Mus musculus: one gene and its partners. The protein of the gene in region 4 interacts with the protein of the main gene of each other region in a pairwise test. Links are inferred from orthologs where the notes say so. Each region holds a gene or a part of one and is shown on either strand. Other genes may lie near its edges.

Evidence for each region.
Region 1: the proteins of Kxd1 (region 4) and Map1lc3a interact in binary tests that used the Homo sapiens proteins (3 or more experiments, as listed by UniProt). The two-hybrid records come from large-scale screens. The link is inferred for Mus musculus from reciprocal best matches to the Homo sapiens genes KXD1 and MAP1LC3A.
Region 2: the proteins of Kxd1 (region 4) and Tcea2 interact in binary tests that used the Homo sapiens proteins (3 or more experiments, as listed by UniProt). The two-hybrid records come from large-scale screens. The link is inferred for Mus musculus from reciprocal best matches to the Homo sapiens genes KXD1 and TCEA2.
Region 3: the proteins of Kxd1 (region 4) and Ift20 interact in binary tests that used the Homo sapiens proteins (3 or more experiments, as listed by UniProt). The two-hybrid records come from large-scale screens. The link is inferred for Mus musculus from reciprocal best matches to the Homo sapiens genes KXD1 and IFT20.
Region 5: the proteins of Kxd1 (region 4) and 4930579G24Rik interact in binary tests that used the Homo sapiens proteins (3 or more experiments, as listed by UniProt). The two-hybrid records come from large-scale screens. The link is inferred for Mus musculus from reciprocal best matches to the Homo sapiens genes KXD1 and C4orf46.
Region 6: the proteins of Kxd1 (region 4) and Gabarapl1 interact in binary tests that used the Homo sapiens proteins (3 or more experiments, as listed by UniProt). The two-hybrid records come from large-scale screens. The link is inferred for Mus musculus from reciprocal best matches to the Homo sapiens genes KXD1 and GABARAPL1.
Region 7: the proteins of Kxd1 (region 4) and Ccdc185 interact in a two-hybrid assay, tested with the Homo sapiens proteins (2 studies listed by BioGRID and IntAct). The two-hybrid records come from large-scale screens. The link is inferred for Mus musculus from reciprocal best matches to the Homo sapiens genes KXD1 and CCDC185.

The regions. Positions count from the first base shown.
Region 1 is NC_000068.7:155,275,055-155,278,573, reverse strand, and holds Map1lc3a (microtubule-associated proteins 1A/1B light chain 3A), read right to left. Parts: upstream 2,211-3,519; 5' UTR 1,968-2,210; coding exon 1,928-1,967; intron 1,617-1,927; coding exon 1,561-1,616; intron 1,477-1,560; coding exon 1,370-1,476; intron 1,100-1,369; coding exon 937-1,099; 3' UTR 501-936; downstream 1-500. Other genes in the region: Pigu (phosphatidylinositol glycan anchor biosynthesis class U protein precursor), read left to right, coding at 1-38. UniProt on the Homo sapiens protein: Ubiquitin-like modifier involved in formation of autophagosomal vacuoles (autophagosomes). While LC3s are involved in elongation of the phagophore membrane, the GABARAP/GATE-16 subfamily is essential for a later stage in autophagosome maturation.
Region 2 is NC_000068.7:181,678,797-181,683,096, reverse strand, and holds the start of Tcea2 (transcription elongation factor A protein 2), read right to left. Parts: upstream 2,801-4,300; 5' UTR 2,691-2,800; coding exon 2,622-2,690; exon of another isoform or gene 1,860-2,621; intron 1-1,859. UniProt on the Homo sapiens protein: Necessary for efficient RNA polymerase II transcription elongation past template-encoded arresting sites.
Region 3 is NC_000077.6:78,535,015-78,539,160, reverse strand, and holds the start of Ift20 (intraflagellar transport protein 20 homolog), read right to left. Parts: upstream 2,801-4,146; 5' UTR 2,585-2,800; intron 652-2,584; 5' UTR 423-651; intron 328-422; 5' UTR 326-327; coding exon 199-325; intron 1-198. UniProt on the Homo sapiens protein: Part of intraflagellar transport (IFT) particles involved in ciliary process assembly. May play a role in the trafficking of ciliary membrane proteins from the Golgi complex to the cilium.
Region 4 is NC_000074.6:70,520,381-70,524,427, reverse strand, and holds the start of Kxd1 (kxDL motif-containing protein 1), read left to right. Parts: upstream 1-1,247; 5' UTR 1,248-1,365; intron 1,366-4,047.
Region 5 is NC_000069.6:79,627,743-79,631,878, reverse strand, and holds the start of 4930579G24Rik (uncharacterized protein C4orf46 homolog), read right to left. Parts: upstream 2,801-4,136; 5' UTR 2,703-2,800; coding exon 2,523-2,702; intron 751-2,522; coding exon 595-750; 3' UTR 1-594. Other genes in the region: Etfdh (electron transfer flavoprotein-ubiquinone oxidoreductase, mitochondrial precursor), read left to right, coding at 3,328-3,361.
Region 6 is NC_000072.6:129,536,192-129,539,511, reverse strand, and holds part of Gabarapl1 (gamma-aminobutyric acid receptor-associated protein-like 1), read right to left. Parts: intron 2,022-3,320; coding exon 1,943-2,021; intron 943-1,942; coding exon 824-942; intron 1-823. UniProt on the Homo sapiens protein: Ubiquitin-like modifier that increases cell-surface expression of kappa-type opioid receptor through facilitating anterograde intracellular trafficking of the receptor. Involved in formation of autophagosomal vacuoles.
Region 7 is NC_000067.6:182,746,626-182,750,616, forward strand, and holds Ccdc185 (coiled-coil domain-containing protein 185), read right to left. Parts: upstream 2,556-3,991; 5' UTR 2,498-2,555; coding exon 632-2,497; 3' UTR 501-631; downstream 1-500.

The DNA of each region.
Region 1 (3,519 bases), on a different chromosome or scaffold from region 4:
CCAAGGACGGCACTGAGGCCATGCTTGTGCTCAAGTAGCCCTGGCTGGCACAGCGCTGCATGGACAAGAGGGGGAAGGGCCAGAAGCTGGGCCAGGTCCCTCATCCAGAGTTGCCAGCAGGCGCGTCCTCAGGCAGAAGAAGTTCAAGTCCAGGGTCACAAATCTCTGGCACCAAAGGGGACTCATAGCTGGCAACAAGGCCCATGGGGAGAAGCTAGGAGCACCCCACTTGGACCCCCACTTTGTGACTGTGCACAGAAAGGAAGCAGCCGGTGAGCAGGGCTTTATAGGTTGTGACTACTTAATAAATGTGTGGATCTTTTTTTTTTCATTGTTGTTCTGATGACATGTATTCCTGGAGTGGAGTGAGCTTGGCCCCCTAATACTACGTGCTATCCTGTACTAAGGAGTGGGTTTCTGGGAACACGCGTCTGTCTCTGTGTGTGAACACAGTCACCTAGCAGCCCTCCCTGCTCCCAAACAAGCAGCTGGAGGCAAAGGGCCAGGCAGGCCTGAGCAGTCTTTATTCTTTCTGCAGAGGAAATGACCACAGATCCATACACCGAGTCAGGACAAGGGGAGCCAGCCTTTCAGGGGTGGGGCAGGTCCTGGCAGGAGGCAAAGCCTCAGGTGGATGAGGGGCAAGATGGGCAGACAGGCAAGGGCCTAACAAAATGACAAACCCCACAGAGCAGGGATGCTGCTCCCCACCCACTCCCAACCCAGCCAGCACCCAAAAGAGCAACCCGAACATGACTGGCCCAGGACCTACCCAGGATGTGGTAGGCTGGCTGGTGGCCCCTACCTGGGGGGGGGAGTGGGTGTCACATCTCTGCCTAATCCACTGGGGACTGAAATAGCTTAGTTTAGGAGCCAGGACCTCCCTGGGGAGAACCTGACCAGAACTCCCAGCCACCCCCCTCCCCTCCTCTTGACTCAGAAGCCGAAGGTTTCTTGGGAGGCGTAGACCATGTAGAGGAATCCGTCTTCATCCTTCTCCTGTTCATAGATGTCAGCGATGGGTGTGGAGACGCTCACCATGCTGTGCTGGTTGACCAGCAGGAAGAAGGCCTGCGTGGGGTTGAGTTGCAGGCGGCGCCTGTGGAGGCAGGCAGGCATGCCAGGTGAGGAGGCTGCCTGCTGGAGGCCTAGGTGACCCTCCCAAAATGTTACTGAACCTTCACTTTCGGTCCATCTCAGCCAGAGGCTCTCACCTCTACTGAAGCTCGTCCCAACCCCGACCTTGGTCTTTTCCAGCCTCCTAGAACAGGGGCCCGGTGTCCCAAATCAGTCCCCTCGCCCCACTCCATCCCTTCTTGTGGAACCTGACCCTGCCCCACCCAAGGCCTGTAGGAGGCTGCCCACGCACCGGATGATCTTGACCAACTCGCTCATGTTAACATGGTCTGGGACCAGAAACTTGGTCTTATCCAGGACAGGCAGCTGCTTCTCACCCTTGTAGCGCTCGATGATCACCTGGAGTGGAGTGGGCGGGGGACTCGTAAGCCAAGGGCGGGACCTGGCAGGGCAGGGCGTGGCTGGGGGGTGCTAGAGACTCACCGGGATCTTACTGGGGTGCTGGTCGCGGATCTGCTGCACCTCCTTACAGCGGTCGGCTGCGGACAGAGCTCTGTGTGAGGCCCAGCGGTGCTGAGGCCTCCCGCGACTCCGCCTCGCTGATCCCCGAGGGGCGGCTCCCGGCCCGCCCCGCCCCAGCGCCCGCCCCCGGGGCCGTCGGCCCCGCAGCCCTCCACCGGGGGGACGCGGTAGGGAGGCGGGCGACCCTGCCAGGCCTTGCGGCCTCTCCACCCGGGGTCCGGCCGGCCGGTGCCTGACGTCATGGGGCTGACGTCACCTGCGGCAATCGGGGTCGACTGGCACCCCCATCCCTCGATCCCCGATGGCAGTTCGCCCCCCAGGGCCTCACCGAAGCTGCGCCGCTGCTTGAAAGGCCGGTCGGAGGGCATCGCGCGGGCCCGGCGGGGCGCGCAGCCGGGGCTCCGGGGTGCGCGGCTCAGAGATGCGTCTGCGGTTCGGCGCGCCGGGGGCTCCGGGGCTCGAGCTCAAGGGCTGCGGGGCTCGCGCTGAGCCTGGCGGTGGCGGCTGCGGGAGGTAACTCGCCTGGGTGACGTCAGGTCACAACATTCCTTAAAGGGGAGGCCGGCGCGCCGCTCCCATTGGGCCGACGGAAAACCCGCCTGCCTGGACCTGTGACGCCACGGCGCAGACAGCCCGGATTCCCGGCGCAGGTCGTAAGGAGGCGGAGCTCCAGGGCGCGTCACAGTTCTGTGACGTCACGATGGCAAGCTCCTCTCTTTGGCGCCACAGACTCAGAAGCCAGGCATTTGTCGCCTCCATCCAGTCTCTCGACGCTGCGGAGTAGTTCACCGCACCTTCATCGAGTTTAGCATTCGAGAAGGAAGGTGGAGCGGGGAGAGGATGGAACACCCAGAGTTTTAAAATTTTTAATGTGTCTGTAAGTGTATGCCCGCGGATGCAGAACATAGCATCGGATTTCCTTAGGCTGGAGTTAATCGCACTGCTGGGAATCAAGCTTAGGTCCTCTGAAATAATAGCAAGGGCTCTTAATTGTCGAACCATTGCTCCAGACCCCCCACCCAGGCTTTCAAAGAATTCTGGAACAACCATAGAAAGCATAGATTTCCAGAGTGAGGTTGGTTAATAGGTGGTTTAGATAAAGCAGGAGAGAATCGCTGAATGGGGGGGCTATATCAGAAGTGGTTAACCATGAGATGGAGAACATTCGGAACTGACAACACGCGAAGTCAGATTTTACAGGTAGAGCCCCTTGGTAGGATAGAAAGAAGTATGGTCTGGGAATGTTACCGAGGGTCAGGGTAGGATACTTGCCTAGCAGATGGAAGGCTTAAGTTCAGTATCTCAGGTTTTGCGGGAGGTGGAGGGGATAGAGGGACTGGACGGACACGGAGAGGCGGCCCCTTGAAGAACTTTAAAAATCGATTGAAAGCCAGAATCAATGCCAGATGTAGCTGGCTCTCATTTGTAGTCCTAGCTCTATGGGAGTTTGAGGCAGGAGGATGGGCTAGAGTTGAAGTAAGGAAGAAAAAAGATAAAACAAAAGAATTTACAAAGGACCATTGTTTGAAAAAAAAAGTTAGTTTGTACTTCAGAAACATACAGCTCAAAGGGAAGAAATTTGATGGGAACCAAGTTAACAGATGCACGCTTGAGTAATTCTAAACAACTGCTTATGGACAGAAATGGTAGTGATTGGTACAAAAACAAGCTGCTAAGGTAACAAGAATTCAGCTGAGATTGCCTTAAAGAGGCTGGGTGGCGGTGCCTCCTTAACCCCAGCTCTGTGGGCAGAGACGGGATGGTCTCTTGAGTTCAAGGCCAGCCTGGTCTAGATAGTGAGACCTTGTGTTTTGGGTTTTGTTTTGCTTTTTAAATGTCTTAGGGAGCTGGATTTGTTTGGAAAGATATTATTGTCTGCTTGGTCAGGTAGGGTGCTTGCCCGCAAGCATGAGGATGTGG
Region 2 (4,300 bases), on a different chromosome or scaffold from region 4:
AAGGCCAGCCTGGCCTACAGAGTGAGGCCAGGAGTTCCAGAATGGCCAGGATTACACAGAAAACACTTGTCAGGGGGCATAGTGGACAATCCTACCTCTTTGTCATCACCAGGGGGCAACTTACATGTCAGAAAGAAGCCACTCCTCTACCCTGAGATTCCCAGAGCACTCCATACCTGTTCCTACATCACAACAGGGGCTTTTTACTGCTCCTGCCATAGGGCAGGAATAGAGGCAAACAGCTCAACAGTGCTCTCCTCAAAGATCAGGGGGTTTCTCATCCTGCATCTACGGTGATCTCCAGACATCATGGTAACTAACCACAGGAGGACACTGAACAAACTACTAGAGAAAATAAATGCCCCAACTCCTGCTCAACACGGAAGGACATTCACGGGTATAGCACGGGTTCTTTAACCTTGGTCCATCTGTGCTGTGGTGGGAGAGCAGCCTCTCCTCAAAGCGCCTACCCATCAGGGCAGCACTACTCCTGGGTACTGTAACAGACAACCCTGGCTGCCTTCCTCTGCCCTGGCTTTTCCCCAGCATCTACAGGCAGGCTGCACCTCCAGAGTAGGCAGGCTCTTCCTGTTCCTACCTTAAAAGCCTCTACCTAAACTCTCAGGAATCTCTACTCCAGCCACAGATTTGCAAAGTAACAGCACCATAGCCAACAAGGTTTATCAGAGGCACAATTATTGCTAATTGAAAACTACCAAACCTGGTGACACAGGCCTTATCATCTCAGAGATACTTAGGAGGCTGGGGCAAGAGGATCAAAAGTTCAAAGCTTACCTGAGTTTCAGAGTGAATTCAAGATTAGCATGGGCATCTTAATGAGACCTTGTCTTAAAACAAAGTAAAGAGAGGGCTGTGTAGACACAGCTGTGATAAAGCTCTCACTTGGTAAGTTAAGGCCCTGGGTTCAATACCCACTATCAAAGGGGTGGGCAGGTGAGTTGACTCAGCAGATAAAGGTGCCAACAAGCTGTACAACCTAAGTTCAATCTCCAGAGCCCAAATGGTGGGAGGAGATAACCAATTTCCAGGGGTTGTCCTCATACTTACACACTCACCGAGATAACAAATGTAAAATAAATAAAATTAAATATACAAAGGGAAGTTTTTCTTAAAGCCAGCACCTACAAATCCCATAGTCTCACTTTTTATCTCTTTTCCAGACTGGTCACCACCCTCCTCCTAGGTACTGTAACAGAAAACCCTGATTTTCTTCCTCTGCCTAAGCTCTGTTCTTTGAACCTCAAGGGTAGGCAGGCTCCTCTGGTTCCTACCTTAAACCTCACTCTGCTTAAGGCTGCTCTTCTCTTTACCACTTCCAGGTTATATTCAAACACCTCCTTCCTACAACTGAGACAGCCTTTTCTTCTAACACCCAACACTATTGTGTTTGCTGTCCTCCAAGTTTCCACTATGAGCTCATTTGTCTTTATATGCCACAAAGAGGCAGAGAAAACCAACCCATCCAGCCGTGGTAGGGGCTGGGGCTGACCCTTCAATCTGTGTGACTTATCTGCTCAGGCTGCAGCCTTGTTTCATGGCCCTAAGTTAGTAAGCTGTACACCAATCAGCCCTGAGGTGGCTGACTTTGCTAAGAAGACCTGATCCTTGGAGCCAGGGGCATGCATCCACAATAGCCCTGCACTCCCATAATGAAAACCCAGATAAACCATCAGCTGTTCCAAGGAGCCTCTCTCAAGGACTACTGGAACCTCTGCAGGTTCCCTTCTCAACTGTACAGTCCTATCTGTGGCCTTCCATCCTTACTGGGTCTCCCTTTGGATTCCCATCCTATCTCTGCCACCCTTAGTTCCAAGTTTGTCATTTGTGCTTTCTCTTACCGGAAAGAAGCTCCAGCAGGGCCTCTGTAGCCCAGATGATTGCAAAGTGGGTTCTGTTTCCAGTGTAAAGGCTTATGTGGGCACTTAACCTACTTCCTGTTTTAGACCCCAGCCCTCCAACCCCTAGAGCAATCCTGCTCATCCCCAAAAGCTGTCCTGCAGCCTTCTACTTCAAGCACAGTCCTGGGGAGGCTGTACAGACTCATGACTCAGCCACTATCTGGGCTGCCCTCAGAGCGGTGCTGCGGATGCTCTAGAGTCACTCAGTCTTAAAGCCACCTCCTAAGTCCCTTCCCACCCACGGAAGGCAAGATTGCAGGTGCCATCATCCCCTAAGGATGCTCCTCAAAGGCTACGCAGGTGACCATGGTCGGAAGGCAGGCTGGACTGCCAAGCCCACACTGGCCAGGGGTCTCAACGCCACAGGCTCAACTGTCTGCCCAAACCGACTTGCTGTTGCCTGAGGCCTGACTAAGCAGGGGAAAAATTTATTAAGAGAAACCTGGTGCTGAAGGGTGGGGGGCAGACAGGGGAGACAACGGCTGGGCCAGGGACGCCCGCGGCCACCGCTGGGCGACGAACAGAGGGTAGCTTTCGGTCAACGCGGCGTCCATTGCGAAGCGGCAGTCCCAGGACAGGGTGGAGGGCGGGCCTGGGCAAGGGGTCTCGACTGACTGGGCTAGGTATCACTCTGCCCGAGGGTAGGCTCAGACGGTCTCCGCGGAGCGGGGCCCCAGGGTCCTGGCGGCCCGCGCCCCTCACCGCGTTCTTCCTGGTCACCATTTTGTCCAGCCTCCGGGCGATACGAGCAATCTCTTCCTCCTTGCCCATCACTACCTCGGTGGCGGCGGGTTGTGCCGGTTGCGCCGCCCGGCCTGACCTCGGCCGCCGCCGCCGCCTAGATCCGCGGTCCAAACCTCCGCCTGGCGGCCGCGTGCGACAGAATTAAAAAAAAAAAAAAAAAAAAAGAGTCCCCGCCCCCGGGACCACAACTCCCAGACGACTGCGCGGCCTGCGGCCTGCGGCCTGATTGCCCGCTGGAAAAGGTAGTTCCGCAGGTATCTCCGCCGGACCACGGCCCCACGTGCCCACCGAATGCCAGGGGGAGGGAGGACCTAGAGGAGGGAGAAGGACAACCCTACTGCGCTCAGGTCTTTAATTCAACCCATCTGAGCAGCTTGCCCTGGCGGCCGGTCGCGCCTTCACTAGTGCACTTAGATCGCCTCCACTTCCGAGAGTCACTCAGCTCACTCCACACACTTCACTTGGTACCAAGCCGAGTTTGGGGGCTTTCTTGGCGCTGCGCAGGTGGCCGGGACTCTGAAACGGTTTCTCCGCAAGAATTCAGGCTTTAGCCAAGCAATGTAGGCTCATGCCTTTTTAATCCCTGCACTCGAGAGATAGAGAGTCAAGCAGATCCCTGTGAGTTCAAGGTCAGCCTGGTCTACAGAGCTAGTTCCAATACATTCAGGGTTACACAGAGAAACCCTGTCTCGGGGGTGGGGGGTGGGAGTGGGGAGAACTATTCAGGTTCTGAAGTCAACCTAACGGTATAAACCCCAAGTTCTGCACATTGTTGTACGTCTCAGTCTCCCAACCTGTGAAGTGACAATGACAGAGGCTGCGATCAGGAGCCTCCGATTCATATTTTACACTGAGAACAGGGCAGGGTACTGAGGCAATCCGCTACTGAGGCATTACCTCAGGAAGACCCTAACCACGTCCAGGAAAGGGAGAATGGTGCTCTGCTCTTCTTCTGTCCTATACATGGTGGCAGGTGTGCTGGTACTAAAAGTCAATCTGAATTTTTTTGTACCCAGGAGGCCAGAGTGCAAATGACATACACAAATGACCTAAGCTGACCGTTTTAATCAGTTATGACATCTTTACCATAAGAAAAAGGCATGGAACTTCTTGAAGGCAACAAAGCTTTTCCAGAGGTGCAGTGATGGCTGAACCCAGCTCTCTAGTTTCATACCACCTCTCATTCTGCCCTTTACTGAGAGCTGGGCCCTTGCTCTAAGCTAAACCCAACAACAACAACAAAAATTCTGGGAAAGGGAACCCTGTGTTTGAGTACTGAATTAATGCTTTCAGGACCCTACCACAAGACAGGCAGTAAGAGAACCACAGGACCTTCAGCCATGCTGTGTTTGGCTGATGACTTGACCCCATCAAGGGACTGCCTACTGAGTAGTCCCAGCTCTGACTGGTCCCAATGATGAGCAACAGCAGCCTGTAGGTGGCAGGAGCCACCCACAGATCTGCTCAAGAACAGGCTCTTTCCTGAGGAAAATCCAGTAGATCACCAGCAGGGGAGCTATGTCACAAGAAGCCAGATCAAAGGTGTGTTCAATCCTGAGGGGTCCTTACTTGTGGGGTTGGTACTCACCAGCCAGATATTTCCACATTGCAACCTTAGAAAATTCCAACTTTAGAAA
Region 3 (4,146 bases), on a different chromosome or scaffold from region 4:
TTGCTTGGCACTAAATGTGGGACTCCATGGCAGTGTAAGAGGGCAAGCAGAGAAGGTTGGGTACACATGGGAACCCAGAGACCAGGCTCAATCCAGAGAGCACGCAACTTCATTCTGGTAGACCCAAGAACAATGGCCAAGGTCAGGTAAGGAAACTGCTCAAAGCAGAACAACACTGTGTCTCCAGATGGTACTCACTGTCCACAAAGTCCTTGCACTCCTCCTTGAGCTCCACAGTCTGCTGGGTGACCTCTGGGTCCAACACTCGGAGCTTGTTCAGTTCATCAAAATGCAGCCCTGCCTCGCCCAAGATGTCCTTGGCCATAGCTGCAGAGAAACCAGCAGCGACCTGAATTTCATCCCAGACACCACCCCAGCCCTCCTCATACACCCATCCCTCTGCCTCCAGCTCTCAGCCTCACCTGTTTCCCTTCCAGGAAGCCCTAGAGGTCTGCTTTGAAGGGGTGACAGTGGCAATCAGGAGGTATGTCATAGGAGCAAGGGTCAGGAAAGAGGAAAGTCCAGTTGCTTGTCACAGACATCGTTCATTCAACATACATTTCTTGAGTGCCTACTACATGCCGACACTGCTAGATGCTGGGCGTAAAGATGAATGCAACATGGTGCCTGCCCTGGAGCAGCACAGCTTAGCTGGAGGAAAACAGACACGTGAACCTGAAGGATTATATTGCATCAAGTGATTTTTACAGAAATATCACTAAGCAAGGAGAAAAGACAATTTCAGTTCACTTGGGTGTATCTGGCCTAAGCTGCGAGCGAGATAAAAGCATAGTCATAAATCCCTGTTTAAGGTCCCAAAAAGGCTTTTCAAATGCATGCCCTGAAATGAAAAACAAAACAAAACAAAAAGGATGAATTTTAAAATGAGAGTTAAAAGCTAGCTATGGTCATGCGTGACTCTAATTCTAGCAACTCACTGTGTTGCTAGAAGACTGACACACGTTTAGGACCAACCTGGGCTGCATACTGAGTTCCAGGCTATCCTGTGCTACACAAGCCCTTGTCTCAAAAAAACAAAAAACAAAAAAACAATTGCCTTCCTGTGTTGTTCTAGTTGGATAGTTTGAGTATTTAAGAGCTCCTAGGGACTAACTGGACCAGGTCCTATGGAAGAGTTCATATGACATGAGACTGCAAACACTTGTTTGAACTCCTACTGCCTTCTGAGTTAACATGCATTTATCAAAAACAAAAACCCTTATTGAATCCCAGCTCCAAGGACAGAGTGAACATAGTGTCTCTAGACAGACAGTAAGCAAATAAACACAAACTGTGATCAGGGTATGAGGAACAGCGCTCAGTGCTCTGTCAGGATTCTACAGGAGGACATAACTCAAGTAGGCAGAGAGGTCAACAAAAGCCTTCAGAAAAAACAATCTGGGACCTAAACACGTCCAGAAAATCTTCTAAGAGAAGGGAGAGGGACATTGTGGGCATAGGGAAAAGCATATGGGGGCGTCCTAAGGCTGGAAGATTTTGACACAAAGGGTCCTGGGATCAAAACAGCAAGAGGGAGCAAGGCTGGCAACCGGCTATAGCTGGATGAGTAAATGAACTTGGGTTTTGTTTTGTTTGTCGAGACAGGGTTTCTCTGTGTAGCCCTGGCTGTCCTGGAACTCACTTTTGTAGACCAGGCTGGCCTCGAACTCAGAAATCCACCTGCCTCTGCCTCCCAAGTGCTGGGATTAAAGGCATGCGCCACCACACCCAGCTGAACTTGGATTATTTTTTATAATGATAACCGCTAGCAGTGGATTTCGGCAGTGCTTATTGATCAGAGTTGGAAAGATCACTCACTGCCTTGGCCAAACAGAGGGAACAGGGAAGAGCAGAATAGAGGCGTCCTTTCCAAATTTCTCACTGTGAGCCAAGCATCTCTAAGCAGGCTGCCTGCAGGTAAGTGGCACTCTGATAATGTTTGCAGAATGAATGAATTCATGTGGAAACAGAAGGCTGTAACAGAAGAAAAGATTTGAAGCCGAACGGGAGTTCAGAGATCAGATGATGTCTGAATTGACAGAATTTAGTAATGCTTAATGCAGCACTTTGGAGAAAAGTGAAGAAAGGAGCCAAACACGATTGCCATGGATCTGGATTGGACCGAGAGTATGGCTGGAAAGGACAGTTTAAAGAGATGGGTAAGATAGATATGGTACATAGCGGGCTATCAGATCCCCAGCCCACCCCTAACTCCCACCACAAATATGCTCCAGGAACGTGGGATTGAGTTTCCTAAGCATGAAGGCTGTGCCTGGCTCTACGCTCCCTGGCTCTCCCAGGTCCGCAGGCACAACAAATAGTTGTAGCTGTGGAGTTTGGAGAAGGCGTAGACACAGGAAGAACTGGGCAAATGGCGCGGCTGTCTTTACTAAATTATACTCCTGCAATGTCCGAACCTCGGTTCACCGGTGACATCGAGGGAGCCAGGCTGAGCTGAGTGTAAACCCGATCCCTAAAAACTCCGAGGTAGGGAAACCGCCGCTTTCCACCCGGTCCAGCCAATCCTCGGCGCTGGGTCACGTCGGCCTCCTCCCGTCCCAAGTCCTCCACGTCCCCGACCTACCTGACGAGCCGCCTCGGCAGCGCTCTGCGGCCCTGACGACTGTCGGTAGAAGCTTCTCTCCGGCAACTGCAACCGGCTGCTGCCACGGAGACAAGATCTAGGAGCCACACGTCACCCCCGAGTCCAGAAGCACCAGCATCCGCCCACCCTGCGGTGCTTGCTGGGAAATAGATGCAACACGCGATAACTGCCCACTAGGCCCAGAAGCCTTTGCTCAGGGGGCGGGGACTACGACACGGGAAGTAGATTTGTTCCCGAACCCGGAAGTAGAAGGAAGTCAAACGTCAAGTTTTCGACCCACTGCTAGCTCGCGCGCTGTGCATGCCGGGTCTTGTAGTCTCTTTCCCGATCTGTAGGGTTGGGCTGTAACTCCGGAGTCGGCGGGCGCAGGATGTGAGCTCACAGCCGAGATTGCAGGCAGCCGCAGGCCAGAGGTGGCACCGAGTCCGCTTGCTACTTGACTGAGACTCGGAGAGGCGTCCCCGCGGACGGTGAGAGCCAGAGGTGCGGGTGCAGAGGGGAAGGACAGGCTCTGCTGAGTCCTGGGCAAAAGGCACGGGATGGCGCGCGGGGATGAAGTTCAGGTCTTTTCTGGGGATGGGAGGCACCACGGATCTCAGTTTTTCAGAAGAGGAGGGGTGTGGCGGGAGAGCAGCCTACACTGCAACGAGAGACATGGGATGTTTCTCCATTTCCACTGGAGAGCCTTTGGGTGAAACATAAGAGCCGCTTCCACGATTTCTGACCTTTCTTGCCAAAATCAGCCTTCCCACCTCGCCGTACCTCGTGTCCTTCCTTTAGAACCCCAAGTCTTTGAACTACCGTGATCGTTTGCGCTTTGTTCTGCTTGGCTTCGCATTAGGTTCCCATAGAGACACGTGTATGTTCCCCAGCCCCAGGATTACCCCTCTATCCACAGGCGAAGTCCTGAGGAAAGAGCCCTGAAACTATCAGTGGAAACTTCATCCTCTCAGAAATTTCTTTCTAGGGCGTCACCTGCCATTGGACTCTTGGACCTAATTGGTCTGGGTGGAATCTGGTCTGACGTCATCTAGGACTCAAAGTAGCTCTTAGGAGGAAAAGAATAGATTAGCTCCGGATTTGACTTCCTCAGTTGGCAAGCCTAGTCACTTGGGTTTCTTTGATTTGGCAGAACGTGTTTATGTGCTTCCTTGATTCTGGGGAAATGGGACTGCACACAAAGTATGTGAGGAACTTGCTAAAACTTGTTGAGGAGTTGATTTTTTTCCCGCTTTGAGGTAAGGCGGTCAGTCGCTCACCAGTCTAGCATTGTAGTGTTACTGTCAGACTCCCGGAGCTCGTTTCCTCCATGTTCCATCACTGAAAGCAATTAAGCCATCAAAAGGATATGCTACTTAATATAGCACCAATATAGACCTTCCTGAAAGCCCCCCACTCCCGACCATTCCAAGGACATACTGAAATCTCTTCAGGGTCAGTTTTAGTTTAGCAAGCTGATGTATATACTTAATTCTTGTTTGAGGACCAGTGTTGTGGGTTTTACCTGTAAAACATGAGGAATAACAGGAAACGACTGAGTG
Region 4 (4,047 bases):
GATAAGATTTTAAATCCCTGGAATAGAATGGGGAATTTAAAGACTATGGTAAGGTATACAAAGATTGTAACTCTCTGAGTATCCAGTTATGGGAAAAAGCCTGAGGTTACTTATGATCAGGACTTTAAAAACTACTACGGGGGGCTGGTGAGATGGCTCAGTGGGTAAGAGCACCCGACTGCTCTTCCGAAGGTCCGGAGTTCAAATCCCAGCAACCACATGGTGGCTCACAACCATCCGTAATGAGATCTGACTCCCTCTTCTGGAGTGTCTGAAGACAGCTACAGTGTACTTACATATAATAAATAAATCTTAAAAAAAAAAAAAAAAACTACTACGTTAGCTGGCCATAGTAGTACATACCTTTGATCCCAGCACAGAGGAGGCAGAGAAAGACAGATCTCTGAGTTAAAGAGCAACCTGTTCAAAACACTAAAGGGCATTCCTGGACAGCCGGGACTACACAAAGAAAGGAGTAGGAGAAGAAAAAAAGAAATCAAATACTGCCTTGTTTGCAAGAAATCAGCATGCCAGCCTCTGCCTTTTTTTCTATGCTGAAATCCTTTTTTTGCAGAAGGCATATTAAAAACGGTTTCTCTTATTTGGACGTACAGAAAAAGTCCCAGAAAAACCAGAGATAAAAAGAGAAATCTTGTTTCATAAAACCAAAACTGGCCGGTCCTGGTGGCACAGGCCTTCAATCCGACCACTCAGGAGGCCGGTAGATCTCTATGAGTTCGAGTCTGGCTTGGTCTAAATAAGCAAGTCCAGAACAGGCAGAGCTCTGTTACACAGAGAAACGGTCTAGAAAAACCCAAACAAAACAAGTCAAATCCCTGCATCTCTTTCACCAGACTCTTTATTAGAGAGAGGGGATTATTTCTCACAATACCGAGTACCAGGCCAGCCTGGGCTACAGCGATACCTCAAAAATCTGAAAGTCACACATGGTGGCATACAATGGCGTACACGCCATTTCAGGATGACCAGGATTTTAAGGGTAACCTAGGCTCCATGGCGAGCTGGAATCCAGCCTGAGTACATATGACCTTGTCTTTTTGTTTACTTTTCGAGATAGGGTTTCCTTGTGTAACACTGGATTGATAAATAATACATTTAATTGCCCACTTCCGGATTGCTTAAAAGCCATGTTTGGGACACAGCGCGTGCGCGTATCTAGTGCTGCGATTGCTCATCCTTTTGGCGTTCACGTTAGGGCTTCTACAATTTGGTCCTCCCGCCTCCTCGCGGTGAGTACGCGCAGGCTCCTAGGCGCCAGGACAGGGGGCGCTCGTGGACGCTCTATGATGACGTAAGCGCTAGGGCGCCCTCCCGGAAGCGCGAGCCAGGCCGCCAGATGTGCAGGTGCCGAGGCTGGAGCCGCCGGGGCCGGGCAGGGCGGGAACTCGGGGCGTCAGGAGGCCACGGAGGGGAGGGAGGGCCCATCCTAGCTCGGGGACACAGCCTCAGTTTTCCCGGATTCGCAGCGATAGCGCGGGCCAATCTAGATGGAAACCCTAGTTGTGTGACCTGGAGCCCTGAGCGGCTTGGGGTGCGCGTGTACCTCAGTTTCCCCGCTCAAAGGGGCGGGGACCCCGTGTTTGTTTGAGTCACGCCTTATCTGGTTTGGTTCTTTTGTTGTTGTTGTTTCTCCTTCAGAGTTTGGCCGGAAGAGTTGAAGTCCGTTTAGAGGACTCGGGCCGGACGGCTCCTTGTGCTCCTACTGTGACCTTGAGGCTCAGAGCCATTCCAGTCAGCCTGACATTCCTGGGGGAGAGTTAGTGTTTCTTTAGATGATAGCTCAAATTAGCCTCCAGTTCCTGGTAATCATCCTGCCTCGGCCACCCAACTATAAAGAGAGTCATTAAAATTTTGAGATAGCAGCCCAGACTGGGGCCTCTGTCTCCTTGAAATGCATCTTCCTCAGTCTCTAAAGTACTGGGATGACAAGCGTGAGTTACCTCATCTGCTTGTGTTGAGTCTTGTTTTGGATTAGGGTCTCATTTGTTCCAGGCTAGTCTGTAACTCACAAAGCAAAAGTGACCTGAAACTTCTGCTCTTACTGTCTTCTCTAGCACTGTGCACGGGCAGGGCATTCACCACACCTGACTCTTATTTGTTTATTTCACGTATGTGCATACATAAACTGTCGCTGTCTTCAGACAAAGCAGAAGTGGGCACTGGATTCCCATTACAGATGGTTGTGAGCCACCATGTGATTGCTGGGAGTTGAACTCAGGACCTCTGGAAGAGCAGTCAGTGCTCTTGACCGTTGAGTCATCTCTCCAGCACGTATTTATTTAGACAGTCTTATGTGTCTCAATCTCGTCTCCCACTCATTATGTAGCGCAAATTAACTTTAAACTTACAACAGTCTTCTAGTCACCTGAGTGCCAGGATGGCAAACATGAGCTGTCACACCAGGCTTCTGTTTTAAAATAGGGTTTCATGCATCTTAGGGTGGCCCAAAACTCAGTATGTACAGCCCAAACTGACCTTAAGCCCTGAAGGACCCAGGGCTTCTGCATGCTTCCAGTTCAGTCCCAGACCAGGACTGATACCTGATCTAGAACAAAATCTCTGGAATTAAAATTCTGCATGAGAGATGCTAGCTGTTAACCTAGTTGTTGACTATGCCCTTTAATCACAAGTTACTTTTCTTCTACTTTTTTTTTTTTTTTTGGTTTTTGGAGACAGTTTCTCTGTGTAGCCCTGGCTGTCCTGGAACCCACTCTGTAGATCAGGCTAGCCTCGAACTCAAAAATCCACCTGCCTCTACCTCCCAAGTACTGGGATTAAAGGCTTGCGCCACCACTGCCTGGCTGTTTTTCTTCTTTCTTAAGATAATTTACAGTCTATTTTGGGAAATGGGGGCATGCACCTTCTCATGAAGGGGTTTTCTGCCAGGTGTGTTCCAGGGCTTGAACTGGAGTCCTCAGTATAGACAGCAAACATCTTTTAGGCACTGTCTTACAGGCCACCCACCTAAAATAGGGCCAGTGTGTGTTGCTCAGGTGGGCCTGGGACGCTCTATGAAGCTCTGGTTGGCCATGAAGGCTGGATCGTCCTGCATTCTCCCCTTGTACTAGGGTCTAAAACCCTGGTTTGTCCATGGTCATGCTTGATTACCGGGTGACTGGACTTGGTGTGGTTATTGGATGGAAAGAGTTGTGTCCTGCCCATAGCTAGTTTCTTTTTTCTTTCATCTTTTTTTTTTTTTTAAAGAAAGCATTTAATTGGGGTTGGCTTGCATTTCGGAGGTTTAGTCCTTTTTTTTTTTTTTTTAATGTACGTGAGTACACTGTAGCTGTACAGATGGTTGTGAACCTTCATTTGGTTGTTGGGAATTGAATTTTTTAGGACCTCTGCTTGCTCTGGTCAACCCTGCTCTTTCCCATTAGCCTTGTTCAATACGGTCAGCCCTGCTCCAATCGGCCCTGCTCGCTCAGTCTCTGCTTGCTCAAAGATTTATTATACATAAGTATACTATAGCTGACTTCAGACACACCAGAAGAGGGCGTCAGATCTCATTATGGATGGTTGTGAGTCACCATGAGGTTGCTGGGAATTGAACTCAGGACCTCTGGAAGAGCAGTCAGTGCTCCTAACCACTAAGCCATCTCTCCAGCCCCAGGACCCTGTCTTGAAGGGAGGGTGCACTTGATGTGTTAACTGAGCTGGTAACATGTTTAGGGACCCAGGTTCAGTCTGTAGAACCTAAACACAGAGCTGAGCTCAGTGGTGAGGTGGGGAGCAGGTACAGGCAGACCCTGGAAGCTGGTGGAAGAATGGACTGCAGAGATGCCACAGAGCACTTGCTGGACTGGAAGAGGATCTGAGTTTTGTGTCCTATCTGTGGCCACCTGTAGCTAGCCCGGGTGTCTTGACACCCTAGGCTCTGCATCAGGAAACTCAGTCTCTGTAGTCTGTCCTCTATCATGTGAGTACTATAGCCGTGTTCCATAAAAAAGACTGACCTGAAGCTAGGCAGGCACAGAGCTTAAGAGAAGGTGGAGTGACCGCCTTGCAGAACCTAGTGTGGACAAT
Region 5 (4,136 bases), on a different chromosome or scaffold from region 4:
ATTTTTCCTTCAAGTCAATGAAGCTTAGATTCATACAGTTTTCTTAGAGAAACAGTCTTCATCCTAAAAGACAGGAGTCAAAAGTAGCTTTAATTAACTCATCGAGTCTCATTCACAGACAGTGAGTGTTGTGACCTGGCTGTGGGCACTGGGATAAGGAAGTAAGTAAGGGCCACCGCCAGTTTTCCAATAGGTGTCCTGTGGAGCTGGACCACGCACCCGAAATCCTCATCGCCCGCCTTAGGAGACACACCGCGCTCAACTCCCAACTCAAGCATTCTTGTCATCTTCTCACAAAACAAATGATGACCTGGGTGCAGGGAGGCACTATTGCGACATTACTTACGGATGGAATGAGCTCTCATAAAGGAGTCGACAAAAGCTTAGAGGGCAGAAAGCATCTAAGGTAAAATACTGCCATATCAGAGAAAACACACAAGCAAATAAAAGAGCCCAGTATTCTGCTTTCACCAAGTCGAGAATACCAAGAAAAGTCCCATTCTCAGTCTAAATGCCTGGAGACAGGCAGCCGCGTCCATGTGCTCTACGTGCAAATAGGTCCTGTGCAAGGCTTTACGCGACTACATCGGCAAGTCAGTTGTCGGGTTTCAGGGAATCATAGCCTTCTTTCAGGAGGTCGCGCCACGTCTTAAGGAAGCGTGCATTTTCTGTACATTTCAGGGCAAGTTCTTCCACTTGAGCTGATACCGCAGACGTGGCTTCCAGAAGTTTAGTTAATGAAAACGCCGCCTACAATTTAATGAAAGAAAGAAAAGTCAAGCGGGTTTGTTTGTGGTACTGGTACCCAGGACCTCCAGCACTGAGCTACACCCTGAACCCCACACACGCTTTTTAAAAAAAAAAATCCTCATCTAACTTCATAGTCTAAATATAGCTTAAAACCTTCAATCAAATGCCCACATGTTTTTCTTTAAAAGAAATGAATTTTCAAAAAAAAAAAAAAAAAAAAAAACACTGGTTCTTTCTTGAAGCCGAAGTCTCAGAACAGGGGAGGCACACAGCTCTACCCAAGCTGCACTCAGAGCCTCTAAATTTTTTCATAACGTAACTTTAAGGAAGAATACCTGCCATAAAAATACTCACTGAATATGACAAGTCAGTATTTTTAACAGAAAACACATCCAACTCTCATATATTTCCCCAAGGCAACCTGGAAACCTCTTGACTAAAAGTGGCAGAGCCATCCAAAGGACTTCCTCACTTTGCCTGGTAACGAAGTAAGAAAAGCCCTGTTCCACTATTTTCACCCATGAACACTTATTTTTGAGCTATAAATAAGTAAATAAATAATAAAATCAAAGAACTTATACTCTAAGCTGAGCTGACAGAACATCTAAAATCACACACAGCTATGAAAAACTCACTTTTAAATCAAATGCTTTCTTCACCAAAAAATATAAAATAACACTTTTTTTATATCATGTCAGCATTTATTGTTCACATTTATTTGTAACCTGTATTGTTTGGGGGGAGGGACCTGGACTAATACTTCAGCCATCTCTTTTGACAAAAGAATAAAAACCTGTCAGCCAGTTCTAGTTTCCAAATCTTTTGTGTGGTTATTCCACAACCCTCTCCAGGAAGATTGTCTGCTACATACTTCAGTCCTTTCTCCCTCTCAAAGAGTCCTTATAAAGTGCCACTGTAAACACATAAGTGGATGCTCACAGTCAGCTATTGGATGGATCACAGGGCCCCCAATGGAGGAGCTTGAGAAAGTACCCAAGGAGCTAAAGAGATCTGCAACCCTATAGGTGGAACAACATTATGAACTAACCAGTACCCCGGAGCTCTTGACTCTAGCTGCATATGTATCAAAAGATGGCCTAGTCGGCCTTCAATGGAAAGAACGGCCCATTGGACTGGCAAACTCTATATGCCTCAGTACAGGGGAACGCCAGGGCCAAAAAGTGGGAGTGGGTGGGTAGGGGAGTGGGAGAGGGTATGGGGGACTTTTGGGATAGCATTGGAAATGTAAATGAGGAAAATACCTAATAATAAATAAATAAAGTGCCGCTGTGACCCTCCAACCCCTCAGCGTTATACGTGTTGGGGTCAGGAAGTTATTTCTGGGAATTCGAGATTGAACAAAAACTTTACAGAATTTTTGCATTGCAAGATTCTGTTCTAAACTGTCCTATCAAATCCATCTGCCGGCTGTGATTAGCCCTGGTCCACTCAAGTCCAACACAGAGCCAAGTAAGCGACACACAACAGCATCACCAGCTGGCCCTGGGCTGGTGGCCAACTAGAAGCACAAGCTCGAGTCCCTTAGAAAGCACCAATGGGCAAGGAGGCAAGCTATGACCGCCCAAAGTGCTCCGAGGGATGGGAGGAGGCGGAGAGAGGATCCTGGCAGCGGGGCTGCGGATGACCGCTAGCAGAAGGAGAAGGAAAGAAAGATGCGGGAAGAGAGAGCCGAGGCTAGCCCTCAACTCCAAGAACCGCAGGCAGGAGCACCCTAGCTGCAATCAGCTCTCAGCCGCAACGGCGACACTCACGTCTCCGATCTGCAGCTCCACTTGCTCCAGCGGGTCCACGGTTGGACCGGGACTCCTGCTCGGATCCCGCCAGCCCAAACTCACTGGCATGCTGAGGGACGACGAAGAGGCGCCTGACGACGGAGATGAGGGAGGCGGCGGCGGCGGCGAAGAAGCCCGAAACTCCTCAGAGTCAGCCATGGGAGTGAGCTGGGGCTACTGGACCGGATCAAGCAACCGAACCCTCACCAACTGCCTTTCGACCGCTCGCGCCCAAAGCCCATAGGCTCCGCCTCCTCCCACACGGAGTCCCGCCCCATCTTCTCGTTTGTCTCTGCCCTGGACCCCAAGTACGTCTCATTTTTTCCAGACAGCCAATCAGATATCAAGCCAGGCGTCACCAGGCTCCTGCGCACAGCTCCAGGAGCTAAACACTACAACTCCCAGAATGCCTAGCAAATCAGCCTCGCTATGCTTCTAGGGCGCATGCGCACACGCGAGAGCTTGTCGGCCTCTTCTGCACACTAGGTTCCTGGCTGAGGATGACTGGGAGATGGAGTCTTCTGCCTTTTCCTGGCTTGTATGTGACCCGGAAACCTTACTGGCCTTCGTGTCCTCTGTGGCGCCGGCGCAAAGCAGAAGAGGGGCGGGTACGCCGCGAAGCAAGGGCGGTCGGCAGAGCCCAGACGCTGACAGAAGCTGAGCAGTCGGGGCTTCTTGGCAGGTGATGGCGCCCCTCGTAGCCTAGAAGTCCAGCACCCTCGGCAAGCCGCAGACCCACGCCTCTCTCCTTTGTATCTGGTCAAGTCTCCGGGTCACTTTGAACATGTTGGTGCGACTAACCAAGCTGTCCTGCCCTGGTGAGACGAAACTCCTGGTGGGGACAGAAGGAGCAAGGTGGATAAGTTGGGACAAAACAAGACTGGGGCCACACCCGGGGTACTGCCAGCATCTCTTTCCTTGTCTATTGTCTTAGGCTAAACTAGGGCAAAGGTCAATGCTGTCAGCGCCTGGTGGCCGACCCTACCTTACCGACCTTGGAGTTGCCCCAGTTGGCAGAATTATCATCTAGGTTAAAGGTCATGAGAAGAGAAAATTGTCAACACTGCCCCCTCGGTGGAGTTCCCCCAAATGCCGCTCCTAATCTTTACCTCAAGGCTCAGGTATTATCTGCCGCCTTATTAGGAATGGGAAAGAAAGAAAAACTTGTGTGGGTTTTCGCCTTGGCTCTGACCTGACTTTGCAGCCATAATAGTCTAATCTTAATTGAAGTCTGAGCTCTCATATCGTATTAACTCATATATTACCAATTATGTCTGGAGTCGGAATTTTTTCTGCATTATCCAGAGTTAACACCAGGCGTTTCTGTTATGGGTGTTTCTTAAAGCAGTTGCAGGATAGTTTTAAGTTTTTACTTAAAAACAACCCCCTCGTTCAAACAGAAGTTTAGAGGATCTTGAATTCTGTTGTAACTGGCTTAATATAAATCTTTACTGAAGTTAATTTGGCTGTGGGATTTTTAAACAAGTATTTGTATACTTGTTTAAACAATATGGTGTATATTCAAACCAAGCATCTATTATCCACAGAAGATGGTATGCTTTGAGAGCCATCAGTTTACAGTCTAATTTAGAT
Region 6 (3,320 bases), on a different chromosome or scaffold from region 4:
AAAAGGAAAAAAAAAAACTCCTCACTCTAGCAAGGAGAGCACAGAAACCACAAAGCATCTACTGGCATACATACTCACGGGAATATATGCTATGGAATAATAAGGGCTAGACCAGGGGTTACTAGATGTGCATCTGACTATTGGAGCACAATGGGAAGGCAGTATCATGTGTGACATCGTACAAGGAGTAGTACAGTCACAATCTTAGGTCACATTATTTGTATATGAAGTCCTCACTACAGTTTTTCCCAAATCAGATCCTAACTTGACACTTTAACTCATTCCCTGTACTCAGATAATGGAAACTCTTACGTGGCCTCCGGTTTGCTCTAGAAAGAGAGCTTCCAGATGTGCCTGTCCTAAGCCGAATCTTGGCCGTTTATGTGGGAGCTAACTGGGAAGACAGGGCTCCAGGTTCAGACGGAAAAGGAGCCAAGGGTTGCTGGTGTCTCTTTTCTCCATCTATTGCTAGATGTGGATGGCTGACAGGCAGGAAATGGAGTGCACAGTTCACTAACAAACTGTGCTTCCAGAGACAGTAACAGAAGGGTGAGCATGGTGATGCTTTGCTACCAAGAACCACTGGAACCGGCAATAAAGTACTACAGTCAGGAAAGACTAGAGAGAGATTTCAAAAGATTAAATCGAGTAGGTGCTCAGTCCCTAAAGGACAAAGGGTATCTAATCTCCCAGCGTCACAGTGCTGTGTGTAAGAGGATCCCCATAAATAACACCTCCTGCCCTACTTCCCAGGTGTTTAACAAACCCTGGAACCAGAGCGAAGGGACACCAGGCTGCTGGGTATTGTGATCAAGACCATTACCTCATACAGCTGGCCCATGGTAGCACTGGTGGGAGGGATGGTGTTGTTGACAAAGAAGAATAAGGCGTCCTCAGGTCTCAGGTGGATCCTCTTCCGGATTAAGAAGTAGAACTGGCCAACTACAGGAAGGAAACAGAGAGCAGGGTGAGAAATGAAAAAGGATTAGTAGGAGAAACCTCAGAAAACAAAATAAAATCTATTGTGTAAGTACAAGCTTTTCAGACCCAAAAGCTGTCCGAGAGCCTTAGTGGGAAAATAGAAAAGGAGGCATGTACAGTGTCTGACCCACCACACTGGGACTGTCCCCTCCCTTCTTCCTCATCCATCTTCAGACTCAATATTAGCAAATCTATCCAGCACGACTATTGTGGGGGAGTACAATGTAGATCCAAGCATTCCCATCTAAATGGACTCCTGATTCCTTTGGGGTCCCATTTGCACTCTAAGAGCTAACAATAGGAAGAGATCCACTGCACTCTGGCCCTCCCAGTACCATGGGGGCAAATGTTGGGACAATGAGCCCACGCAACTTCTTCCTGCAAACAATGAAGCTCTGGGAGGCTGACAGGCAAATGCGTGAACACTGCATCTAAAAGAATCTTTCCAGGGCATCCTGAAGGCACCTGGTACTTCTTTAAGAACAAGGTAAACTCTAAATACATATAATTCAAAACAGAAAGTAGGCTAGGTTTTGCAGTTTTCATCTCCCAGACAGAAGCACATTTAAAGATAAAGTATTTGGATATAAATCTCTGAAATGTGATCCTCCTTGGTGACAATACCCAAGACACGGCTGGAGCTGATATAAATCGATCCACCTCAGGATAGCATGGCTGATTTTTAAAGTGGTATAAATGACAAACTTTTGTTCTTTACTCCCAGAGTACTGCTTTCCTGTGTCTCCATGACTAGGGTACATGAGTATGGCATTGGGAAATATCAAACAGAACTAGAAACAGGAGGGCAGAGTATGCCTATCTGTACTGGCCAGCTCACTGAAGGAAACCATGCAAGGTCACCACCTACATGCAGTGACAACCCATATAGTCACCAACTTAGACTTAAAGATCAAGAATGCTTTGCCTGGAATGAAAGGTCAGAAGAGAGAAAGATGGTTACCAGTGAGGTCGGAGGGCACAAGGTACTTCCTCTTATCCAGATCAGGGACCCTGGCTTTAGGAGCCTTCTCCACGATGACCTAGAAGAACAGGAGACTGGGATGAAAACCAGACAGCCTAGCATTGTCTTTTTCCTTACATACCTGAAATTTGCCCATGCTGTCCAGTCTCATTTTTCAGTCCCCATTTCCAATACTCCTTGAGTTTAAACAACTACAAATTACCTATAAAGGGCTATAAAAGTCATTCACCCTACGGTATTTTATTAGAGAATTGAAGAGATGTTCTGTGTTTCTAAGATGTGTCTGATGACCTATTTATTTTTCCTCTAAAATACCATTTACAGACCCAGGAGAAGAAGCAGTCACAAAAGCGCTCTCTGTCAAAGTGTGAAGACTGAGTTCTGATCCCCAAACTCCATGTGAGTGCCCACTGGATGTGCAGTCCCCATGCTGGGAAGGCAGAAACTGGAGATCCCTGGGTCAAGCTGGCTGGCTGGAGTAACTAAAGGGGCAAGCTCTGGATTCACACTGAGTAATGTGAAGAGTAAGCAAGAATTGTGTGAGATACCAACATCTGGCCTCCACATACATACACGCAATCACACACATGCTCCCTCGCCTGTGTACACACTTACACAGAGGGGGAAATGCCATTTGTTACAAGCACAACATTATAATTTAGAACTTCACTGCCTTTCAAAGGCCGTTGTGTTAAAAAAAAAAAAAAAAAGTGCTCCTGCCTTGGTGCTATGAGCAAGTGGTAGAAACTTTAAGGGGTGGGGCATCATGGAGGTTTTAGGTGTTTGAGCCAGAGACTAATCCTCCCTCATCTGTGCCTCTATGCTTCTAACACGATAGTTTGACGCACCACCAGGCCAAAGACTGGGGCCATCTAAGAGCATGGACAAAGACTTCTGAAGTCAGTAGCTTTCTTTCCCTATAGAATTTGACCTTCTCAGACACTGCTACAGTGATGACTAACACACACACACACACATACACATACACACGCACGTAATGTGGTTCAGATTTCAATCTTTGCAGAAAAGTGTTCATTGCTGAGTGAAAGCTATTTTGAATTTTTATAATGAGGGACACTTTTTGAGAGTCACACACTAAGTTATTCAGCATTAGTAACCGTGTTAGAATTTTAAGGGACTTTCAATGTCGACATTAAGTTTTTTCATAACACTTTTAAAGATTCTGCATTTTGTAACAAAGAAAAAGACACAAAATCTTCGGTGATGTTTACAGAGTGGCTCAGAGAACAGAAAATATCTGACAAGAATATTAACATTAGATTCTTTGTTTTGAAAATCTCATCTTAGAGATAAGAAATGGGAAATACACAAAAGCAAAGAAGCAGAAACAACACTG
Region 7 (3,991 bases), on a different chromosome or scaffold from region 4:
TGGGAGGAACTATGCAGCCATTTACCAAAACAAGAAAGGAAAAGAAGGAAAAGGCATCTAATCACAGAACATCATTCCACGGATAGAAAAAGGATGGAGGTCTGTGGCAAATGCTACATTAAGGGAGTGTCTATACTATAGGCTTTTAAGTTTAAAACTGCACCACGAGCTCTGGAGAAAGGATTACACTACCAGAGTCTCCATTCTAGTTGCTGAGAGATTCTCCCAGCCCACCTTTGCTTCTTCCCCTGGGAAACTGCTCCAGCTTCACACTCCATATTTCTCCTCTCTCAGGTTGTAGAATAGAAAAAAGAATTACCAAGTCCCATCATAAAACCGTATTTCTAACTGCACGTTCTTCTCTGGCTCCTCTAACTCTGGCCTGATGTGTGCTTCTAGATTCCTTGAGAGACACTGAAATCCCACAAAGTCAAACAGATTTTGTACTTGCCCCCAAGTCTCCCCCCCACACCATCCAAGAGAATCAATGAGCTAATTCATGGGAGGAAAATGCAGCTATTTTATATACATTTTTAAAAATCAATGCTCGATTAAAATCGGATTATAAAGCGGAATTGCATGATGGTGTCTCTGTCTGGCTGCCAGGCTGTGCCTTCTTCCTCCTGGGTTCTCAGTAGACTCCACTCTGCAGGTGCACGGACAGCTGGGGCTCTGCTGCCACCTGGTCAAAGCAGCGGTTTATCTTGGAGGACGCGGGACCCTTCTGATACTCCTGGAAGATGGGATCTTTCCCTGAGGTCATCTGCGCTAACCTTTGTTCCTTCTTCTTGATGGCTTCCTTGATGCCCTTGATGTGACACTTCTCCTCCTTCTCCGCTGTCAGCTTCAAGATATGATGGTTCCTCTCGCGCAGGATGTTCAGCTCCTGCAGGTGCTGCGCCCTGTCCCTGGTGGTCTTGTGCGCATGACTCCTGGCCTGCCTGCTCTTCTGTTCAGCCAGCTCTGCCAGCACCCGCTTGCTCACTTGGAGCAGCTCCTCTGCCTCCTCGGCATGCCATCTCCTTCTCTGGAACTGCTCTGCCTCAGTCTGGGCCTTTGCCTGCTGCTCTCTGTGCCTCTGCTCCTTCACCAGACCCTTTTGGATGTCCTGGTAGCTCTGGGAGCTCTGGGAACTCTGCTCCAGCGACAGCTTCCTGAGGAGTTCCTCCGCCTTGGCCTGGCAGTCCATGAGAACCTTGCGGGCCTGGAAGTTGACAACCGTGCTCAGGTTGCTCTCCTGGAGCTTCTTCGGGCTCTCCATCATCACATGCTCCCTCTTGTGACCCGCTATCTCCAGCCTCTTCTGCAGCTGCAGCCTGTTCAGGTCCCGAACACTCTGCAGCACCCTCTCCTGCTCCCGCAGACTCTGCACTTGGCACTGTTTGAGATGCTCGGCCTGCGCTTGCACCTTGTCCATCTTGGCCAGGCCTCGGATCTCCGGGTTGTCAGCTTGAACCATCCACTCACTCTCGTTCTCTGACCGAACAGCGCTCCTTGCCTGGCGGTCGCGCCGCGGTCCCTGCTGCTTGTAACCCTGGTGAGGCTGCTCATGGCCATGGCCCCTCTGAGGCTTGTGCTGTTCCCTCTGTCCTTGCCATTGCTCCTGGCTCTGCAGCAGCAGCAGCTTGCGCTCTCTCTCGAGGGTCAAGTGAACTTTCTGGTCTGAGCGCTTCAGCTCTTCCCAGGCGACTGCAGCCTGTTGCTGCAGCTCTCGCATCCTCTGGGCCTTCTTGAGCCTGCTCAGCACCAGGGCCAAGATCTTCTGGTCCCTCAAAGATATAACCGTCTCGTCCAGCTTGCTCTTGAGGACCTGAGCGTGCTGGCTACTCTTCTCTTTGCAGGAGGCAGAGGGACAGTCATACTTGTTTAAGGACTCAGTCAGGTCGCGGTTACTCCTATTCTGGGTGGATTGCTTACATAACTCTAGGGAGTGAACAGAGGACTTGTCGGTGAGAACCGAGGAAGGAGACCAGAGACCTACACGTCTGCCCACCGGCACTGCCCACCGGTCTCCAGGGTGTGTGTTTTCTACAAGCAACGTTCCAGCATTCGGGGGACTGAAAGCTTCCCGGATGTACTGCAGGGATGAATCTCCCCGGGCTGCAGGGTAGCGCGGGCTGGGTTGATCCCGTGGCGGCTGCTGCTGCTGCCAGGTTCTGCTGGACTTGGTTGGTGCCTCCCCGCAGGCTCCTTCCAGGCAGAGGCTGCCGGACCTGTGCTTCCTGGCTCGGTCCGAGGGTCTTCGGGCCACGTATGTCAGGCTGTGGCTTTCTCGTGGCAAGGTCATATACCCACGCCGGCGGGACCGCCCAGTGGGCGAACACTTTGGGTGCACCCAGGGCACCTCGGTCTCGATCTCGGCGCCAGGAGTCTGGGCCCAGGGACTCAGAGACAACTCAGACCAGCCCAGCTGGGCTGCGAACTCCTGCTCTCCAGCTAGCAAGGGTTCCCCGAGCTCCCCATAGGACCGTGGGGAGAAGAGATGGAAACCGGCCATGCTCCCTTCCCGGCTGGCCCAGAGTCTACAGAAGGTCGACGGACCTTCAGGGGGCCACTGCAGACACCCAGCCCACGCTCAGATCCTGTGATCCATGTGGCCTGTGACGCTCCTGCCACTTCACAATGCATCCTGGTGCCATCTGGTCTTTAAAGGCCTCAGTGCACCTGGCCTTTGATGAGCTGGCTGGAAGTCTAGGAAACAAGGGTGGTGTATAGAATCGTGACAGCATCAGTGTTTCCATTAGTGGATTGTGGAAGCTCCAGGCCAAGGGCTCCAACTTAAAGAGTTTAGTGGGAGAGAGGGGCAAAGTGTAGTGTTGAGGAAGGGGGATTTTGCTTGTCCTTTGGAGTCACGTCTCTATTTTTATGTTTGTTCTATGTGTGTCTGTGAGGATGGACATGTAGAAGCCATGACTGGTGTGTGGGCAGCTCAGGACAGCTTGTAGGCGTTGGTTCTTTCTTTACACCATCTGAGTCCCAGGGATCGAATGTAGGCTTTGAGACAAGTGCCCTTACCTGGCTAAGCAGCTCACCAACCTCACTAAGCCTTCTGTGCATGTAAGGTGTGGAAAGGAAACGGTCCCTGAAGCACACTGGTCTGAGCCTTAGCAAGCCCAAGGGATGCTTTCACAGTTACCTTTGTGAACTTTAGAACAGCAACAAGCAATTCTGGTTTTCCTCTAATGTGTAAATTACAGCTTTTTTTTTTTTTTTTAGAAATCAAAATATGAATTTTGTCTGCACTGTTTTCAAATAGCCCCTCGAAGATTTCATTTATTGGCCATTTGTCTCCCCCCCCCCAACTTTTGTGAGATCCCCCCCCCCACCTTGCCAAAGGGCAAGTGACTGGATCTTCTGCTTTCAGCCCTGTGATGTTGAGCGCATTCCTCCCATGAGCCCAAGTTCTGGAAAGCTGGGCTACTTTGAAGGCGAGGTGAAATGAAGTGTGTGGAACACCTGCCACCAGAATGCAGTCAATAAATGGTGTCCTACTAAGTTCCAGTTAAAGCTTTTAACACTTAACTGTATTTAAAAGTTCTTCTGCAGACTTCTAGCTGAAAAGATGTACTAGATTCATGTAATTTTAACCCAGTTTGGGTAAAATGTCAGAAAAGTGACTCTCAGGTTCTGTCGGGTCAAGCTAAGACTGGGTTTACCCTCCTCTAGGGTTGCTATGGTCTGAATATATGCCTCCAAACTGCACGTTTTGGCATTAAACCACCATGATGGTGGACCTCAGGGTCAGGCCATGATGGTGGAACTAAGGGTCTGGGACCATCCACAGATGATTGATCCGTGAGGGCAGAGCCCCTGTAAAAGACGTTGGTAAACTTGTTCCACAACATCATTCCAGTTTGTAAGAACAGCTTCAATATGCTGTGAGGCAGAAGGCGGGAGCAGGCAGACCAGGACAGCGCTAAGTATGATTTGGTTGGGACTCGCTGGCAAATGTGTGGTCCGAGGGAGCAATGTGAACAGCAGATTTCCCTTG